Danio rerio: one gene and its partner. The protein of the gene in region 2 interacts with the protein of the main gene of each other region in a pairwise test. Links are inferred from orthologs where the notes say so. Each region holds a gene or a part of one and is shown on either strand. Other genes may lie near its edges.

Evidence for each region.
Region 1: the proteins of zc2hc1a (region 2) and castor1 interact in binary tests that used the Homo sapiens proteins (3 or more experiments, as listed by UniProt). The two-hybrid records come from large-scale screens. The link is inferred for Danio rerio from reciprocal best matches to the Homo sapiens genes ZC2HC1A and CASTOR1.

Annotation. Positions count from the first base shown.
Region 1 is NC_133180.1:12,718,968-12,722,804, reverse strand, and holds part of castor1 (cytosolic arginine sensor for mTORC1 subunit 1), read left to right. Parts: intron 1-11; coding exon 12-135; intron 136-2,322; coding exon 2,323-2,433; intron 2,434-3,454; coding exon 3,455-3,537; intron 3,538-3,837. UniProt on the Homo sapiens protein: Functions as an intracellular arginine sensor within the amino acid-sensing branch of the TORC1 signaling pathway. As a homodimer or a heterodimer with CASTOR2, binds and inhibits the GATOR subcomplex GATOR2 and thereby mTORC1.
Region 2 is NC_133199.1:26,659,640-26,663,247, reverse strand, and holds part of zc2hc1a (zinc finger C2HC domain-containing protein 1A), read left to right. Parts: intron 1-2,050; coding exon 2,051-2,156; intron 2,157-2,234; coding exon 2,235-2,345; intron 2,346-3,608.

The DNA of each region.
Region 1 (3,837 bases), on a different chromosome or scaffold from region 2:
TGTTCATTCAGTTCCACATGCAACTGTTCATCCAGTGTTGATCCCGGAGAATCATTTTTGCGTAATGAGTTTGGATCCGGACACTCTGCCAGCAATCGCAACCACCCTCATAGACGTTCTGTTTTACTCGAACAGGTATGAAAAGTGCTGATCCGTGCATTGGTGATCTTTTCACTGCTTTGAGTATTGTTTGGCAGCAACAAAAGCAAGTCAGCGCTGTCATTTACTGCCAGCAAGAGGTTTTTTGAATTAAATCACTTTCATACATTGAAAGTGATTGCACAACTTTTCTGCTTTTAAAATTTTGTGATACAGTAGTTCACCCAAAACTTTGAGTTTTTTCAGCATTTGATTGCAAAAGAAGATATTTTGAAGAAAGCTGAAAACTCTTAACTTGTATAGTAGGAAAAACAAACACTATAGAAGTCTCTAGTAACAGGACCAAACTTCTTCAAAATATCTTCTTCAATGGAGAGAGAATAAGGAATAATAAAGGAAAAGGCGTCTGAAAATGTTTTGATCCTGTCCTCTTTTGACTACTTACAGAGGTAGTCTGCATTTGATTGCTTTTGTTGTGTAAAATTTAATTTTATTGAATTCATTTAACCCTCTGGGGTCTGAGGGTGTTTTGGGGCTCTGGAGAAGTTTTGACATGCACTGACATCTGTGTTGTTTTCAGTATCTTAAAAACATATAAATGGCTAAAGTGTGATAACACTGTAAACAGCACAAGTTGGGCTACAATAATACCGAAGCAGCATGTTTGTATGTGTTTGTGTTTTTGAGAAAGAAACGTTTATGCGTGGTTAGTGAAAAACTAAAATTTTGAAGTCACTGAAACAAGGCCACGAAACACACAGAGAACATTTGTGCACATTTCTCATCTCTTTGTGTTTTGTATTTGTGGAGTTTTAGTGCATTTTACCGACGCGTTTCTAAAAGCAGATCACGGAGAGAGAAAAGACAGAATGCGTACACTGTTTGTTTTCCTTATTTTGCAAAAGCAAAGACGTTTGTTGTTGTTGTGAGTGTACACAACAAAAAGTAGACACATAACAGATTCAATTGATGTATTGATCTTATCTGTACGATCAAAACTGAAAGTGTTATTTAAGTTCATTTCAGCAGTTTGACGCCACCACAGGTCAAAACGCACATACGCGGTCTTCGACCCCAGAGGGTTAAATGGTCACAAAAGAGTACCTACTTTCTATGACCTAAGATGAAACACCGAAATTAAAAAGGTATACAAATATATGAAAAACTTTTTATTTTAAATGATAAATGCAGACATATTCAAAGAAACCACAAAGTCAGTTAATGTGTGTGTGTGTGTTGATCAGGGGTGCCCAAACTTTTCTTATGAAGGGCCAAAAACCAAACTTGATTAAGGCCAGTGGGCTGAAGGTAAACATTCAGCAGTTGCCATAGGTAATTTCCTTATTTATTTAATAATATTTAAAAATAGCTAGAAAACATTGCTTTATATTAACTAATGCAGCATATTTTTATTGCATTAAATTTTTAATAAACTTATTACAGTAAAAACTATTACATTTATAACAGAATGGAGTTACGCTTGATTTGCTTACTGATGTCGTCTGCATAATCCATCGAGTGACGTTATTTACATTTTTTAAAATCTGACTTATTTACAACATTTAAGTGAAACGTTTACAATCCGCTTGTTAAGTGTGACGTCACGCGAAGCGGCTTCCGGGTCCAAGCGCTTTATTCAACTGAATGGGGAGACTCATGAAATGGTAATAATAAATGTTTACAAAGTGATTTAATGCTTTCGAAAATCACGATTACAGTATATATGTCCATGCCTAATATCCAATGGCCAGAAAGTAATAATTTTTTTTATATATTGTTAAATTTTTGGTATTTGTGATGCAGCAAGCCCAGAGATTGTTGTGTACACTATGATTTTATATAAAATTAACTTTTAATGTGTGATAGGAATAAAACGTGATCATAAACGAATGATTTCTCCACTCAGATGAATGGCGGCTTGGACCCGGAAACAGTATACATACGTCACCAACACGTCATCACTTAACAAGCGGATACATTCATCAAACAATAAAACAAACAAAAAAAGGTTTCGTCAAATTAAAAATGATGATCTCTTTTAAAGGCATTCACCCAAATCCTTTACATCCTTCTCACTCTCTTGGGATGGCATGGTGGGCCAAATAAAAGGTTACAATAGGCCAACTTTGGCCCACAGGCCCTACTTTGGGCATCTCTGGTTTAGATCATGGTACGTGCAATCTGTTTTCATCTGTCTTTTTTCTTTCTGTTTTTCTTCTGCAGTCCTAAAGAGGGCGCCAGTGTTGACCAAGACATGGAGTGCATCAAGTTCTTCTCTTTCTCTCTGATTGACGGATATGTGTCTTTAGTGATGGACACAGACGCACAGAGACAGTAAGACCTTCACATAGACACAGCCAGGTTGTAAAAACAAGATTTACCACTCAAAGACCCGCCCACTCATATTTCTTGACTGGACAAGAGAAACCAATTGGTCATAAAAAATAATTTGACTAAAAAACATTATTATATGTGTATGGATATATTAAGATTTAATACTTGTATTTGAAAAAGTGTCTTCTGGAGCAATTTTAGAATATGCATGACTGACTAAATTGAAAGTTCTTGTATTGGCTTTTATTAGTTTTGTTGTCATTTGTACTTTTGTAATTTTTTCTATAGTGGATGTTAAAGAAAATCTTCTGTTGTGTAAAATATTTATTAAACATTTATTAACACTGTTGCCAAGAATATAGCCAATGCTGCTGATAAGTAGTTAAAACGCACACACGTACACACACACACACACACACACACACAAAATCAAACAAATGAATGGACAAAAAACAGTATGATCCTCACAGAGCCACCAACAGATTATCAAAGCATTATATGTTTCACTATTCAGTCTGAGAAATATATAATTGTGTGTAGGCATGGCTCGGTTGAAGATTCTGACAGTATGATAACCTTGGATAAAAATATAATGGTTTCACGGTTTGACGGTATTGTGAATACTGCTCTAAAACATATTCTTTTTAAATGTCTGGGTTAAAATTATAAACTTTTTCCCCTTTTGAACACAATATATATATATATTTTTTTTTTGAGAAACACTTAAAATACTTTGGGGCAGTAAACATGTCAGGCTGAATAATGAAAATGAATCATTGACTTCTGCTGTTCTTATTTGTTTCAAAAACACAGCTTTCTTTACACTTTAAAATGGCATCTTTGGATATCTTTTCTGCTGGAGATGTTGTCCTAAAAAATGTAGATAAAAAATCTTACACATACCTTAGAAAAGTTATTAAAAAATTTTTTTGGCGGTTTTAAAAACTTGACTTTTCTTATCCACGGTATACCTTAAAAATGGTTTTTGTCCCATGCCTAATTGTGTGTGTCTGTGTGTCAGATTCCCAGCTGATCTTCTGTTCACCAGCTCCTCTGGTGAGCTCTGGAGAATGGTGAGAATAGGAGGGCAGCCTCTTGGATTCGGTGAGATACATTGTTTTTTTCTTTTTATTTATTTATTCATTTATTTCTGTTCTACATTCAAAGGCAACATATGTCATCATTTAAAAATAGTTTCACTTAAAGGGATAGCTTACCCAAAAATGAAATTGTCGTTTACTTTACACTCACTCTGGTGGTTGTACATTTTCATGATTTTGTCTGCTTTTGTCAAACACAAAACAAGAAGCATTAAAAAAAAAAATTCAAAGTTGTTGCAAACAATTTATATGGGTTGAATTTAAACAAATTAAATTGATGTTCAGCTTAATTCGTTTGTTTAAA
Region 2 (3,608 bases):
TTATTCCCCCTTGTTATTTATATCAAGATTCAATTTTGCACAGTTTGATGCAACTATCGTACCTCTACTTTTTTCCCTGTCGTTATTTATGCAGGGGTTTGACACACACATATGTGACTTTTCTTTTTGCATTCAGGATTTCCATTTTAGTTTTAGCAATTTTGTTACTACATAGCTAGCATGAAGAGCTGCGTTGACTGTCGACTTGATAAAAGACAATAGACCCACACCAGCATATGACAAGGCTCTCCAATCCATCACTGACAGTGCAAACTTCACACTGGACTTTAAGCAGCCTGACTTTTGTGTCTCTCCGCTCTTCCTGAATGAATGAAATACAAAATTTGCTTTAATCTGAAAAGAGGACTTGGGACCACTGGGCAACAGACCAGTACTTTTTTCTCTTTAGCCCAGTAGTGGCTTGACATGGAATTCTAGAGCTGTAGCCCATGCCATGCTGTATGTGGTGGTTCTTGATGTTCTGAGACCAGCCTCAGTTGCCCTTGCTTGACAATCCTCTCAAGGCTGCGGTCATACTTGTGTACCTTTTCCAGCAACATTTTCCCCTCTTCCCAACACTCTATTAATAAACTTAGATGCTGCACTCTGAGAGCGTCCAGCTTCTTTTGCAATTGCCCTTTGAGACCTTTCCTCCTTATGGAGGGTTCCAATGATGGTCTTCTGCACAACTGTCAAGTCAGAAGTCGTCCCCATGATTCTGAAGCCTACTTGGCCAGACTGAGACAATTTCAAGGCTTTGCATTAATTAGTGGACTAGATTGAGACACAGGGAGCCACACAATGTTAAACTTGTCATGATATTCTAATTTTGTGAAATACTGGATTAGTTTTTTTTTTTTTTTTAATCTTTAATCAATAATCAGTAAAATTGAATAAAATGAAGGCTTTGAATATTTCTCTTTGTGTGTAGTGAACTAATATAACACACGTTTCACTTTTTTCAAACAAATAATTGAAATAAATGGACTTTCCCTCGTTATTCTAATTTTCTGGCACATACCTGTGTGCATACAGACATTTAATTTTCAGACAGTTAAACTGATGCGCCATTACGAAATTGGCACATTTAAGATCTGATTCTTTTTTTTAATCAGTGATCTTCACTGCCTTATTGATATATGATATAAAGCAGCAATCAGACCAGACAAGAAGCACTGCATTAAATTCCATTTTTCTCCGCCATGTCTTGAAAATATGGAATTTTATTTTACCCAAGTATTTTCAATGGAGTTCTCTCTTCTCTCTTTCATCTTTTGCTTAACAACTAAATGGATGCTTAAGCCTATATTACTGATTATATTTTAATCATTACCACATCAATGCTGTAAAAAAAAAAAAAAAAAAAACATTCATTCATTCATTCATTTACTTTTCGGCTTAGTCCCTTTAAAAATCTGGGGTCGCCACGGCAGAATGAACCACCAACTTATCCAGCATATGCTTTTTACGCAGCGGATGCCCTTCCAGCTGCGAATCATCACAGAGAAACATCCACACACACCCATTCACACACATACACTATGAACAATTTAGCTTAGTCTTTGGACCTGTGGGGGAAACCGTAGCACCCGGCGGAAACCCACGCCAACATGGGGAGAACAAGCAAACTCCATACAGAAAGGCCAACTGTCCCAGCCTAGGCTCAAACCAGCAACCTTCTTGCTGTGAGGCGACAGCACTACCCACTGCGCCATCGTGTCATCGTGTCATCGTGAAAAACATTAGCTGTGCATATACCCCAATGAATTTGGTACATTTATCATTAAAAGTTTACAAAATAAAACCAAAAATATATTTTACTTAAATGCATAACTATAAGTCACATTGCTGAAAACTTTGAATTGATTTCTAAATTTTGGTTAAACTATAAAATAGTTTCATATATAAATATAGTACAACACAGAAAAAAGTATAAGAGCAGTTCATTTTATATTTTGCATTTTTATCTAAAGAAAATAGAATAGCAATTTTTTCAATAATAATTAGATGTTTTCATCAAAATCATCTGTCCATTTCTCTTCCTCCTCAGGAATTCCTAGCAGCAAACCCTCATCCACAGGCTCAATAAAGAGCACACCAACAGGATACTCTCCGTTACGAAACAACTCATCCGGCTTGACCAGCCCTCCCTCTGAGTAAGACAATCCCTCACCAATCCTGAATCCCAACACTTTCTCCACCCTTTTACACCAACATCATTCGTGTTTTCACAGGGGGAACATGAAACCCAAGGGTATGGTTTCACAAAGCTCACTGAGAAATCCTTCTACTGGTATAGGAATGAACAAGAAGAAGATCCAGAATGCAGATAACTGTATTTCAAGGTATGGCATTGAGCTTTTGGGATTCATGGTGTGAAGAGTTTTACTTCTAGCAGTTCCACATTTTGATTTTGATTTGATTAATTGTACACAAATTCAACCATTATTCTTTATTAGAATGTAGTTAATTCATTGCTAAAATATTATTACACATCCTGCCCAAAGTTGTCTTCCAAACATTGTGTGTGGGACTCTAGTTTGATGGCTACATCTTTCTTCAAGTCTTCTTATAGTTATTGCTCTACTGAAAATAGTTATTGAAATTTAAACCTTTAAATGCACTGTGGCAAAATTGTTGCACTCATGTTATATTGTGCTCCATTTGTTATAGGGAAGCACATTTCTGCCACTGAATAATATATTATTAAAAACTTAAATGTGACTCGGTGTCTGACAGTTTTGACGAATGACTTGCAATTGACAGTTGACATCTTTGTGTCTTTGCGTATATTCTCCAAATTGCGTGACGTGTACACACATTTGGTTTGTTCCAGTAATTAAAAGAAAAAAAAAATCTGGCAGCTTACAATTCTGACTTTTTGCAAGTTAAGTGGAAATAGCTAGATATAAACCCATACTTCTCAGAATTGTGTCACATAAACACTTCATTTTTGATCAGCAATTATAAGAAAAAAAGAGATCTTCGCTCACATATATGGAACAAAAAAGTTGCATGTTTACATCTCTTACCGTCATACTGTACTGAAGTCTGATCAGAAGTGTAAAGATGTTCTTGCAGTATATTGGTATGAATAAAAAGTACTAGACAAACATTTCTTTATACTTCCAGTTCACTAACACTGCTCAAATGTGGCATTATTATACTGACACAAAAATTAATTTTGTACAAATATAACCGATGTACAGTAAATGACAAAAACAAAGTTCAAGGCTGATGTCTCATTTTCACAGAAGCAGCAAATGTTTATTTATTTTGGATTTCTTTGTATTTATAGTTTGATCATTTATTTATTGTGGACGTTACGCATTAGTATATCAAGTCCTCACAAATTCTTCAGTAAAATAAAATAAACCTCATCATTTATTTAATGTTGCCTACTACAGAATACAAGTAAAGCACACAGAAATAAATTTGATTGAGCAAGAACTCCTGTTAATGATGATAAATTTAGTGCAGATACACAGCTTTTTATTAGATAATCAAATATCTGAAAAAAGTGTACGCTTGCGTATACCTTAATGTGGCAGTAAGTACTTAACCCATTTAAGTTCACCTACAACTATAGTTGCCATTTTTTTTCTACA